Caenorhabditis elegans: one gene and its partner. The protein of the gene in region 2 interacts with the protein of the main gene of each other region in a pairwise test. Each region holds a gene or a part of one and is shown on either strand. Other genes may lie near its edges.

The links.
Region 1: the proteins of ufm-1 (region 2) and H35B03.1 interact in a two-hybrid assay, tested with the Caenorhabditis elegans proteins (one large-scale study listed by BioGRID).

Annotation. Positions count from the first base shown.
Region 1 is NC_003282.8:5,722,606-5,731,329, reverse strand, and holds H35B03.1 (START domain-containing protein), read right to left. Parts: upstream 5,731-8,724; 5' UTR 5,684-5,730; coding exon 5,578-5,683; intron 5,453-5,577; exon of another isoform or gene 5,427-5,452; intron 5,200-5,426; coding exon 5,126-5,199; intron 5,081-5,125; coding exon 4,947-5,080; intron 4,679-4,946; coding exon 4,570-4,678; intron 4,512-4,569; exon of another isoform or gene 4,491-4,511; intron 4,415-4,490; coding exon 4,087-4,414; intron 4,082-4,086; exon of another isoform or gene 4,061-4,081; intron 3,561-4,060; exon of another isoform or gene 3,411-3,560; intron 3,350-3,410; coding exon 3,246-3,349; intron 3,124-3,245; coding exon 2,793-3,123; intron 2,688-2,792; exon of another isoform or gene 2,667-2,687; intron 1,935-2,666; exon of another isoform or gene 1,914-1,934; intron 1,910-1,913; coding exon 1,767-1,909; 3' UTR 1,616-1,766; downstream 1-1,615. Other genes in the region: H35B03.2 (Ribonuclease P protein subunit p30), read left to right, coding at 45-323, 369-479, 534-638, 1,017-1,436, 1,487-1,528.
Region 2 is NC_003281.10:7,855,021-7,860,012, forward strand, and holds ufm-1 (Ubiquitin-fold modifier 1), read left to right. Parts: upstream 1-3,958; 5' UTR 3,959-3,960; coding exon 3,961-4,049; intron 4,050-4,119; coding exon 4,120-4,315; 3' UTR 4,316-4,492; downstream 4,493-4,992. Other genes in the region: rpl-35 (Large ribosomal subunit protein uL29), read left to right, coding at 130-360, 414-554; tag-307 (ApaG domain-containing protein), read right to left, coding at 820-940, 991-1,482, 1,669-1,821, 1,870-1,955, 2,002-2,086, 2,131-2,222; coq-5 (2-methoxy-6-polyprenyl-1,4-benzoquinol methylase, mitochondrial), read right to left, coding at 2,404-2,829, 2,876-3,138, 3,268-3,436; tomm-7 (Mitochondrial import receptor subunit TOM7 homolog), read left to right, coding at 4,593-4,730, 4,990-4,992. UniProt on the Caenorhabditis elegans protein: Ubiquitin-like modifier which can be covalently attached via an isopeptide bond to substrate proteins as a monomer or a lysine-linked polymer.

The DNA of each region.
Region 1 (8,724 bases), on a different chromosome or scaffold from region 2:
GTAAGAAGCGGAGTTTGAATTTAAAGCTATCAATCAATTTTCAGCTCGACATGCTTTGGACACCAGGAAGTCAGAATAATGTCGATGGGGAACCTCCGAAGAAAAAGAAAAAGAAACAACAACGAAAAGATGAGTTGGCAGATGGAATTGCTGGAATTTTAAAGAAAAAGCTGATCCCGCCACCGCATTACGTGGATGTCAGTCAATTGAATACTTCGGAACTCGAAAAACGTGGAAAAGTGTTCCGTCAATTCAGTAGAATTACATTTACTGCAAATGAGCAAGTAGTTATCAATAAAGTTTTCATTCACCCAACTATTTTGGTGAGTTTTTTTTTCTTATTCAGCATAAGAAAATAATTATTTCAGTCCTACGACATCGTTGCCGTTCGCCCGGGCGAGCCATCAGTACTTGACACACTTTCACGAAAAACTGAGCTTTTCGATATTATCACAATTGATCATTTGGAGGAAGAAAGGGTATTTTAGTGGAATTTCAATGGAAAAATTAAACTAAAACCTGTTTCTCTGCAGAGAAAATGGTTGTCAGTGTCGAAAGTGATGGATCGAATTCGAAACGATGGAGTTTTCTACGAAATTGCATATGCAGAGAGTTTGATGCCTGCCACACGGAAAAATGTGAGATTGGCCAAATATGTCGGTTCAAAAGATCGAAAAAAAAGAGCTTATTTTAGTCAAAATCCCGAATTTTGTCAACCTATCTGTGTCGCAGCACCAGGAATGTGATTTTTATTGAAATGTCATATTTTATTGCATTTTTTTTTCAATATTTTGTTAATCGAAGGATATTTAAAGCCGATAAGTCATTTTTAGGTACTTTTCGGCTTAAAATGTATCCTAATCACTACAAAAAGGCGAGAAAATCGATTAAAATATGCAATAAAAATTGATTTCCGACAGCTGCGACACGAAAAAGATGACAAAACGGAAGATCTTAGATTGAAATATTTAAAAATTTAAACTGTAATTTCCAATTCAAAAATTTCCTAATTCCAGACATTGTTCAACGGCCGAGTCCTGATCAGATCCCTAAAATCGAAGAACATAATCTTCTCATCCGGTGCTGAAACAATGCTTGATCTCCGTTCCCCAGTCGACGTGATGAATATGTCTCTTTTGTGGGGTGTTGCAAATAACGAAGCACGCAAAATGATTTCCGGTTTCCCGAAGAACCTTCTCCTTCAAGCGGAATGCCGTGGAACTGGAAATGGAGATGTTTGTTCGATGAAGTTGAGTGATGCAGAAAAATTGGCAGGAAATGGAGAAGAAGAAGAGCAGGATGGAGCTTCTGAAGAGAAGGTTGTTGTTGGAAAAGAAGAAGAAGCCGAGAAAGTGAAAGCTCCACCGATTGAAGTTAGAATGAATCATTCTCAATATCAGGCACTGCTACAGGCAACTAAAAATGCTAATGATATGGTAAGATTTGAAAGAAACGTGCATTCTAACAAACAAAATATTTTTTTCAGATGAAGAAAATAAAAGCATCGAAAGCAGCTTCATCGTCTTAATTTACTCTTTTTTGTTATCTATCCTTCCGTTCGTCGTTACTTTTGCCACTGTTTTTCATATTTATTCATTTTTCTGTTGTTGTTGTTCTCAGCCAATCGGTTTTTATTTTTTTAAATTCAAAATAAACAATTTAAAGAATAAACATGTTTTTTTAATTAAAGAGAATTGATTGTGTTTAAGGGATTTTTTTGTGAAGAAAAAGGAAAAATAAATATGTGATGTCTACAGTAATCTCGATCAAACTGCCAGCTGATCCATCGTCTGTTGAAGCATTTTGTCAATGAATGCGTCGACTGTTTTTGCTGATCCATCGTTCGAATTTCCATTGAGAATTGGAATTTCTGGAGTTGTAGGACCATCAGACATTAGCTTTATGGTTCCTGAAAAAGATAATATGTATTGCCAGCGAATTGACACATTTTTAGTTTTTTTCATGAAAGGAGTGAAACAGTGTTTTTTATTTATTTATTAATTTCGCAATTTATTGAAAATCATACTCAAAGGCGCACGGATCAATTTAAACGGGTCTCGCCACAAAAAATGTATTTATAATATTACCCAATTGCTGGATTTTCCGATATTTTCGCAAAAATACATATTTTGTTGAACTTTTCAAAAATTTTGGAAAATTTTTGAAAATAGAAAAAAATAGCAGAAAATGCAAAGAAAATACGCGGATACTGTAGCTGGAAAGTGTCGATCGTTTCGAGACCGGGTATCGTATTATAATCCAAATTACAGTTTAGTGCCTCGAAAATCGCAATATTTTTTTTGTGGTTCCAGTTTTTTTTGGGTTTTTGACACCTCATAAATTTCTGCAATTGTCAAGTTTTCTTGTAAATTGGGGTTTTGTAAATTACCCGAAATAGCCTGAAATTCAAAATATCACAAAAAACGAAAAACAAATAAAAGTCTAATTTTTTTTAATTTTGGCAAATTTCGATTTTAAAACTTCTCCCAAAATGAGAAGCCCTCTTTCCAACCAATCAGGTACACTTCATATGACTGGTTGAAAAGTGGGTGGAGAAAATCGCTGATTGGTTTTCTCTGAATTTGAATTTCAGAATATTTTGTGTATTTTAAACTCTACTCAAAATTTAAGTGCATTTTCAGGATAATGCGATTAAATTTTAATAATGTTTAAAGATTCTTTATCCAGCAATTTTACATTATTATTTTAATTTTTTATCATTATATTGAAACATTGAATTAATTTTCAGTTAAACTTTTTTTTGAAATACACCCAGTTCGCTCTTTGCTTACCAAAAGAAACTCGTCTTCCTCTATTATGTGGTGCAACTAAACCTCCAGGAGTCGGTGGCTCTGACATCAATGAAGGTGAAACTGAATCATTAACAGATTCTGGACGAGAAAATCTTGGTGATGGAGGATTCATTGATAAAAGACGTGAAAGTGATGGATATGTTCCATCGGGAAATATATGAGCAATATCCACATGATGTACATCTTCACCCACTCGGAATCCAACTTTATCGTATTTCAGAGCAGTTGAGCAGAATACTGTTGCATCGAACACACGAGCTTCGATTTCAGATGATTTGAAGAAGATCGAACCAAATGGGACAAATGAGATCTGAAATTAAAATATATAATGTTTCAAGTTGGACATTTAATTAATAGGTAACTATTTTGAAATATTTTTATCATCTCTTAGTATACTTTCAGTTTTCGACTTGCAATTTTTAGAATACTTACCGAGTACTGTAGATGTGGATGCTCCCCGAGTACTTGAAGTGCCTGTTTCAGCGAAACTGCAAGGTATGGCCAAATGAATCTAATCGGCCGATCGGCTTCATCTCCTGTAACAAATGATTTTTTTTTTTTCAAAATTACTGTTTCAGAATGTTTGTATATATATTTTTTTAAATTTTAATGTTGATTTTTCATGTACGTCACACACACTTTTGAAGACAAATTTGTTCAAAACGAATTATTTCTTTTGAAAATTTGAAAAAGGCTAAAATAAAACAATGAGTGTTCTTAATGGCGCCATTCCTGTAATTTTCCGACATATAATTCAATACATGTCCCGAAATTGCATAAAGAACCTCATTAAACTAGCATTTATGACAAAGAAAACAGCAAAATTTGGTGAAGCTGGAGGAAAATGCAGCTCAAAATTTGAAAAATAGATCGAAAAAGACTTGATTTCAAACTACAAACCGTTTAGATTTTTTTCAGCGAAAGGACAATTTCGGTATTTTAATTTTTTCTATGATGAACTTGATAGCTTACAAAATTCTGCCCAAAACACTAGTTTACGCAAAAAGAACATTCTAAAAGGGAAGAATTTGCTCGCTAATTCAAATTTTAAAGCATTTTTAATATGTTTTTTTTTCACATTGTTAACGAATTTTCCCGTTTTTCTTTAAATACCACAGTAAAAAATTAAATCTGTGCTATACTTTTATACTTTTAAGCATCCTCCCCACATCCACTACTTCTTCTTGAAGTCCAAAAATTACTGTTTCAAAATATTTATATACTTTCAAGTATTCTCGAATGCATACTTTGCCAGTAGATTTCTTGAACTTACCTTCCAACTCATCAACACAAATCCTTGCAGCCAGTTCAATTTGTGTATCATTGAATCTTTGAACATGCAATCGAACAGGATCACTTGTTAACAAAATGCCTCCTGTCCATTCATAAGATGTCTCGAAATGTGGTTTCAAGAGTCGACAAATCTCTCGGAATGACGAGTCGTCTGGTCCAGACAATGGAAAGTTTAATTGAGCAATAAACTGAATTTCTCCTTCCAATGGATCGGCTGTCCAATGGAGAACTGGTGGCTTATTTGTTATTTGTTCTTCGTCATCAGAAATCGTGCATGGTGTCACTTTGGCGAGCGCGTCGATTTGATTCTGTAATATTTTTTGGTTGTAAAATTTATACTGTTTCAGCATGTTATTTTAATGAATTTATTAATACGATCATTAGTTCTAACCGCCTCAAGAAATTTTTTCAGCATTATACATGTCTGCAAATTTTTAAATATTTCAACCAGTTTAGAACTTACTTTCAGATTATCATTTAGCGTGAGAAGACTATAATTGATGGCTGGAATGGTCCTCCATTCATTCAATTGTTCCAGTCGATCACTTTTCCATTCGTTATCAGGAAGCTTACTGTAATGGCTTTTAAAAATATTTTTCTGAAAATATCAAAGTTTCAAAAGTTTTTAACGATAGTTGGTTATATTTTTCATTTACGAAAAAAAACCCCATTTTAAAGAAAAAACTTCTGCGAATCGTTTCAAAAAAATCTGTTTCACAAAAAATATAATTTGAACATATATTTATGAAAAACAATAAGCGCTTCCTTCGCTTTTTTTCCCAATTCTAGAGATTTTGAAAAATCCAACTTCTTTATATATATATATAAATTCCAACTAACTTGACACGATCAATAGCAACTTGATTTAGATCATGAGCTCTTCTGTATTCAGTTTTCACAAGATCATCAAAGAATTTCTCATCATTTTCACTCCATTCCTGTTTTACAATGAATAGAGAAATACTCTTCTCCACCTGAAATTGAAATAATTTGAAATATCTGTTGAAGAGAAAACATACATTTGCAAGGAAATATCTGACTGCAAAACGGAGGTTGGCGTCACGAAGATCTTCAACTCCAACCACGATGTTTCCTGTAATTATTTTATTTTAAATTTCACTGTTTCAAAAAATATTTATCAAAGTTTTGATGTATCTTAAGAGTGCTTACAATTGAATTAAAATTATACAACTATAATTTTTTCATTAGAAGATTGAAATTTCTAATAGCATCATTTGAGGGAAAGAGTTGAACGACTTTACTGTATATTAACAGCTGTTTCAAAAAAATTTCAAAAGTGAACTTAAAACAAATAGAGAGTTCAGTTGTCTTTCGGTGTTATTAAAAAAGGTTCAGTTAAAATTTTAAAGCATTTTCGTGAATGTTAAAAATTAACTTTTCTTTACTTTTTTCTAATTGAAAATCATTGTTAACGAAATATTTTATGATTTAGGAATTTTCAATAACAAACCTGTGAATGGTGGTGGCCTGTACTCATCAAAAACTCTTTCCGGACTCAATTGCAGAATTCCAGCCAGCGAGTCCCGAAGGATTGAGTTATGAGCAATCGCGAACATCCTATCACTCCCAAGTTTCGATTATTGAAGATTTTGACTGATTTTCTCTGAAAATTAGAAATTTATATATGAACCTGGAAATAGAGAGACGGAAATTCATTTTTGAAAAGAAAAAAATATATCCAGACAGGTGAAAGATATATACATTTTTCGAAAAAAACACACAGAGCATGACAAGAATAGAGAGAAAAAGAGAAGCACGGGAAATGAGAAAAATTAAATTGAATTCCGATCCAGTAAACATTATTTTACTTCCTTTTGAATGTATGTTGGAAAAAGTGTAACACAAATATGTTTCTTGTGGTACTTAAATAAACCAAAACTGGCATTTTTTTTCCGTCTAATAAGAAGTACATATAATCAGAAAATTAAATTGACACAAAAAATTTTCACGTTCCTGTTTGTTACCTAAACTAAATTAATTTAAAAAACGGGTTTCCAAAAATAATTTTGCTGTTTCAGGAAGTTAGTTTTTTTTAAACAAATTTCCTTTATCGATTAATTTTCTAAACATCAATTAAAATAAACATCATACATCAATACATCAATACAAACTCCTCACACAAACGAGAAAAATTATCGAGGAAAATGTATTGCTCAAACTATTATTTTAAAACTTTTAATGTAGTGGGACACCCACAAAAATCTCCAAATACAAAAACGGACACACAATTTTCTAATGATTACAATATTTTCAATATGGTATTTTTTCTAGGATTTGGAATATCTGCTAAAACACACGAAATTATGTATTTTAAAAAACTTGTTTTCATGAGATTTCTCAGAAATTTCTCAAAACCTGCTATTTGGCTGTTCAAAAGTCCGAAAAAAAAATTATTAAATTTAGCTAAAATATTTCCAGAAAAATTAAATGATCACGAAATTTTCACATGTTCCTGGTTTTGTGAACTATAACTAATAATTTTAAAATACGGTTTCCAAATATAATTTTACTGTTTCAATAAAATTTTATAATTTTTCAAAACTTTGACTCAACAATTTTTAAACTTTATTTTGCATATTATAAGTGTTCAATATTCTGGAATAGTTTTTCAAATAATTATGTATTTCAGAAAATACTATCCCGAATTTTTCAATAAAACGTTTTTTATTTATTTGGTCTAAATAATTTAAGAAATTGATGAAAATGGAAAAAAAAATCAAAAATGAATCAGCTAGGATTTTGAGTGAAAAAGTATTTTATATGGTTTTTTTAGGTGATAATTCGAGTAAAATAAGCAATTGTATTACTGCAACATCTCTAACACATTCCAATTAATGGGACAATTAACATCAACTTGATTTTTTTTAACTCAAAAGTTTTCACATTTACATGAAACAGTTGTTCTTAAAACTTATTTTCCACACGTAAATTTGTGATCGAGGACGCCTTTTTTAACATTAAAATCCGGAAGTTCGAGTACTATGAACTATTTACAAAATGATTTAAAAGTTTCTTGAAACAGTAACTTTTAAAATAAAAGTATTTGGAAATTGGGGATAATTTTCAGACAAAAAATTATTTTTCCTAGATAAAGTTAAATATTAAACACACATATAAAAATGTATATATATATATCTAAAAACCAGACATGAATGTATAAATTCAGTTCAATTCTACTCATTTTCTCTTCAACTTTAACAAAACTCGGAGAGCTTCTCCTACTTTAACTCAAAAAAAGAAGAAGAAAAAGGAAAAACGAGAGCTCGTATCAACGCTAAACGCGGAAATTAATAGGCAGAGATAGACATACACGGAGGGCTTTTTGAAATACACAGAAAGAAGAAAGAGACGGAAATTTCTTGTTGCAATTTGGGAAGTTGTTGACATCGGGACGGATTGAGAGCTGAGCGTTGAAAAAGAAGATAGGAACAGAATATTGTAGTGTGTTCCCACTGATTTTGACCCCCCAAACAAACTTTATTATGTTTTTGGAGCTTATGGTCAGTTAGAGCCTATACGTCTGTTCTGAAACTTACAAATATAATAACAGAGAGAGTGGACAAAACTGTTAAGAGTGGCGCAATCAGCTTTTTAAAAAAAATTGAAAACTTGTTCACACAGGTAAAATGAGTTCAAAAATTGTGATTTTGAGAGGCGATTCAAAATTTCAGGAATTTAGTTGCGGTTTTTTTTTTCACTGTGAGAAAAATGGTATTTAAAAAATTCTGCAGTTTCATAAAGTTGTTAAAAACATGTGCCAAGAAGACTCACCATTCGAATGCATACAGTCCAAAAACTAATTGAAATTTAAATTTTTTAAATTTTTTTAAAAAATTACTCAACATCTTCAAACACCATAATATGGTTTCACAGAAAAACAAGCATGAGGCAGGAACTGTGAAGGCGCGCCTACCTATATATTGTTAGTTTTTTCTAGAAAAAAGTCAAAATTAGAGAAATTTCTCAAAAACTACTTTTTCAAATTGAAAAAACAACACTTCTCGTCCAAACCGAAAATGTTAACAATTTTTGAGATTTCACTGTTTCAGCAAAAATATTTATGCTAATTTTAAATCAATACTTTGATAAAAAAGTTCAAGTAGGGAAACAATTATTTCGCGACTACAATGTCTTGAAATATATACTCTCCAAGTCCTTTAATGAAGGGTGTGAGTAAACGGAAAAGAAGATGAAAAGAAATGAAAATTGTTGTGAATAGATGACGGAAATCTGAAAATTGTGAAGTGGGAGGGAGGGAGTGCAATGACCAAGAGAGAGTGTTAGAATTGTGTGAAAATAATTGGGTTCGCCAGAGATTATTCATAAAGGGCAGTTATTTATAATTAGATTTTGCAATTTTTGGAAGTTAACTGAAAAAGAAAAGTTTACAAAAGCTTTATATCAGGTTTATAGACGCGTTTTCTGTGGCCAAAACAAGTCAGAGAATATTTTAACAAAAAAAATTTACTGTTACAAAAATATTTCTTGAATCTTGGGAAATAATACATAATAATATGAAGAGTAGCTTAGCTCTTTAATGCGAAAAAAATAATGCTCGTTTTTACTAACCATTGTTGAATAAGTGTCTATCTCGGAA
Region 2 (4,992 bases):
TGTCGAAAATATTTCCGCTCTAATATATTTCAAAATAGATTTTTTCCATTCTCTTGTTTTCTTAATATTTTTTTGCAAATAATTTATAATTTTTAAGCAATCTCATTATTCAGGGTTACCACAGTAGTCATGACCAAGCTGAAGTGCAAGTCTCTCCGCGGCGAGAAGAAGGATGCCCTTCAAAAGAAACTCGACGAGCAAAAGACCGAGCTTGCCACTCTCCGTGTCTCGAAGGTCACTGGAGGAGCTGCCTCTAAGCTCTCCAAGATTCGCGTTGTCCGCAAGAACATCGCCAGACTCTTGACTGTCATCAACCAGACCCAAAAGCAAGAGCTCCGCAAGTTCTACGCTGACCACAAGGTTCGTTAACCGTGTATTTAAAAAAAATATATAACTTGTGTAATTATTTTCAGTACAAGCCAATTGATCTTCGCCTCAAGAAGACCCGCGCCATCCGCAGAAGACTGACCGCTCACGAGCTTTCCCTCCGATCTGCCAAGCAACAGGCTAAGTCTCGCAATCAAGCCGTCAGAAAGTTCGCAGTCAAGGCTTAAGTGGCTTGTATTCATTGTTATCCATTCATGGACATTGTTCTGGTTCAATTTCAATGAAAATTGTTGCTTATGTTAGTAATTTTGACATTCATACAAATCAAAAAAAGTTCATTGAAAGATTGTATCTAAGTTCACCTGGAAATACACAAAAATATTTAAAGTTCAAACAAGGGGTTAAGGCACCAGAAACACCAATAGTCATTTTTCCTACAACTGAAGAAAATTTTTGTACATTGCTGTCAGCGTTTAAACAATTATTTATCGATTAAGCTGCGTCCGGAGCTGCAATTGGAGTTTCATTGATTTCTTCCGTTGACTCGAAAACGATTGTAGGAATGTGAACGTCGAAAAGAACGCCGTTCTCCCTTTCCATTTTAAAACGACCCCTCAAAAATAGTGATGATTCGTGACAAAATAAACGAAACTTTTTTCTTACCACATGTGTCCGCCTTTCGTATGTTTCAGTTCAAGTGTACTGCTGAATTGGAAAGCCGGAGTTGCTGCGTTCAATTCAGGTTGCTTTCCCACGACACCATGTCCATGCATTTGATTCATATTGTTTAATGAATATACCTTGAGTGTTCTTTCTCTTAAAATCACCCCGTTTTCTGGTTTTTTATTCTCGATCCTGATGACATATCTCCACATATGCTGCTGCTGTCCACCAACCATATTGGCACCAAGATAGAAAGTCATCACAGTTACTTCTATGTTTTCAGTTCTTTCCCGATAGACGTCACGAGGTCCAAGCCATGATCTGTTTGGATTTGTGTATCTTTCAACAAGTTCTGGCTTCATTGCAATATCATAAAGTCCAATGCCATCGTGAGATGCGTTGAAAATGTGGTCGAAGAGATCGTGGTCAAAATTGACACCTCCGGATGGAGTAAATGGGATAATATCTTCATGTGAGACACAGTCCATACCACTGAAAATAATTTTTGAATTGAAGGAGTTTTTATTATGAAAAAATTTCTTTAAAATATACGAAATCATATTTTTATTTTGATTTTTTAGAAAACTGATTTTGTCGCTTTCAAAAAAGGTGTTGGTGTTGAGGATTGTTCCAATCAATAATATTTTTTAATTATCTCATTTACAAAAATCACCGTACTTGATTAGAGTCAACATTTTTTGTCCGTGTCTTTTATTCTCCATTGGTGCATCTACCAAATACGATGTAATATCTACTGGGAATCCCATATGACTCCAGTCATAGCGATGAATGAGAACTTGGTAGAAATCACGCGTAAGAAGATGCTTTTCGCTAAAAAAAAATTTAAAATCAGAATAGCAGAAATTTATTGCTACTTACTTTTGTTGACTTCTTTTTTCATGTAATCTACATGGAAAAGAGCAAACAACGACTCCTTTGTAAGCAAATGTTTTGTGAATGAAAATCTGCAATTTAATATTTTTGCAAAATAACTGGATTGAGTCAACCAACTTGTCCAGCTTCAAATGTTGGTTTATTAGTTGATGGCAAGAGAAGTCCAATTTCTTTCAATATTGGCGTTGTGGCGCTTCTGAATCTTAAAAATGATGATTATCGAGTCTGAAATCATCTATAAATTACCTTGACAGTAAGACTTTCCCAGCGGAAAAGTTTCTTACACTGTGCTGAATAGCACTTCGAAGTTTCATATCTGAAATTGTTGGAATAAACATGAATTTTTTCAGATTTTTTGAGTAACAACGGGAATAAACCACGGAATCATAGATGTCAGGAAATACAAATATAACAACTTTAATTAAATTTATGCAAAAATTCTACACGAAAAATACTGAATATCACCTAGAAAAATGGAATTAAATGAAATTTTAAAAAGAACAAACAAACAGGAATAAATTATTTTCTTGGTTTCATCCCCTTATGAATCGAGCACACTCCAAATGTCAAATTCTCGTATCGAACATTACTAAAGCCTTCTTCTCTAATTATTCTTGCAAACTCGTCTTGATTCGGGAATTTACGAATACTCTCAACCAAATATTGATAACTGGCACGATCACTGGCAAGAATTTCTCCAAGAACCGGGATCACATTGAAGGAGTATGCATCGTAAATTGGTTTCAGTGCAGAATTCACTTCTGAGAACTCCAAAATAGCAAGTTGACCTCCAGGTTTGAGTACACGAAAAGCTTCACGAACAACCTTTTCAGGGTGTGTACAATTTCTGATTCCGAAGGACATTGTGAACAGATCGTAAGTGTTCGACTCAAATGGCATTTGCTCGGCGTTAGCGCATACCCATTCCGCGCGAGATGGTTGGATCTGAAGTAATACATTAAGGATATGGAATTTTTTCAAAAACAATTACATCTCTCTCCTTCTCCGCTCGTTTTTTTCCAACATCGAGCATTGGTTGATTAATATCGGAAACTGTCACTTTTGCGGTAGGCGAATGTCTGAGAATTCTGAAAGCGATATCCCCGGTTCCTCCTGCCATATCCAGACATTTCGCATTATACGGTACTTGCAGGCCACCAACATAATAGTCTTTCCATAATCGGTGAACTCCCATGCTCATTGCATCATTCATCAAATCGTACTTTTTCGCGACGTTTGCGAAGACGTGGTGAACTAAAAAAAGACATATAGTATCAGTAAATTATATAGATGTGTTGGAAAAGGGCTTATTTTATGTAGAGAACTTTGTGATTATTATTTGTGGCTATCAGCTTTTTTACGTTTCTGAATCGAACAGCTAACCTTTCTGCTCCTTCTCTGCCTCATCAACGTCAGTGAATCCAAAATGTGTTTTCTTTCCGGGCTCTGACCGTTTATTATCTGAATTGACTTGATTCACCGAAAACTGCCGGAAATTTCCAACGTTCGTAGGTTTTCTCATGCTTTTAAATAAGTTTGTTGCTCCTTTCATTCTGAAAATAAATGAGTTTTAATTCGGACAAAAGATGAGAAAATTTTGAGAACTTAATTGCGAAGTTGAATGATAAATTAAGTGATAAAAATCACGATACTCTGAAAGTTCTTGCAAGAAATATTCTACCGCATTTTCCCGTGGAGATTCCTAGGCCATCACTCCATAATGAATTTTGAAGAGACGTATTTCTCGTTTTTGTGGTATTTGTACACTAAATACTAGCGTTCGAACTACAATCTTCATTTAAATTTCACTCGAACTTTAACATATGAAAAATAATTGAATTATATTATAGTTCTTGATCACGCCATCACTGGCCTAGGTTCCGTCAAGTGGCCGAGTTTTGTAAGAGACACTTGGCATTTTTCCAGTTTTTCTCTCCTATTGTTTTTCAGTTTTTCAGGTTATTTTGTGCATTTCTGTTATGTCCTTTTCTTTATCAATTTGTTCGACTTTTTAAAAAACAATTTTTCAAACAAACTGGACGATTATTATTGATTTTATGCGAGAGATTTTCAGGAATGTCGGGTGGAACAGCAGCAACAACTGCCGGTTCCAAGGTGACCTTCAAAATCACTCTAACAAGTGATCCGAAGCTCCCATTCAAGGTGTAAGTTTTTATATTTAAATTTTCGGTTTACTTTTGATTTGGAGTTTTGCGTCATGCATTAATTTTTCAGCCTCTCCGTGCCGGAAAGTACCCCATTCACCGCCGTTCTCAAGTTTGCCGCTGAAGAATTCAAGGTCCCTGCGGCTACATCAGCAATCATTACGAACGACGGAGTTGGCGTCAATCCAGCTCAACCTGCCGGAAACATTTTTTTGAAGCACGGAAGTGAACTTCGTCTGATTCCACGTGATCGCGTCGGCCATTGAGCATAAGCCAATTGTTGTCTACATTCCTGTATTATGACATAATTATTTTTACAAAATGTGATGTCTCTGTGCATTTCTATCCTAAACTCGCTAAGTCAGATTTGAATATCTAAATTCTTCTAAATATTAATTTATTGAAATTCCCCTTTCCAAAGTACGCTATGAAGCTTTTTTCTCAAACTTGTTCAATCAATTTATCAATACTGGTTGCTCTTCCGCATTTTATCTTACTTTTTTAAAACTACTTTACTTTTAGTCTTATATTATTTTATTTAAGATGAAGCTCTCCCCAGCTACCAAGTCTTTCATCGGTAAGACAGTCGATATTTCCACATTTGCAATCCAATGGGGATTCGTGCCGTTTGTGGTCTACCTTGGATTTAAGAAAGGCGCTGAGCCAATGCCAAATGGACAGGTAAAAACTAGAAAAAGAAACATTTAGTTTTAAAATCACGTCTCCGAGAGAGCGTAATAAATAAAAAATGCGTCCCATAATACACAAGATTCAAACATTTATATAGATACCGCATTTTCTTTACAAGTTTCTCGTTGTGTAAATAGAACAATTGCATGCGAGACGCTGCCAATTATTTTTTAATTTATTTGTCAAAAGTTTAAGTTTTACCAAAAACACCTATGCTTTCAATTCAAAGATTTAAGAATTCATATTTCAGATC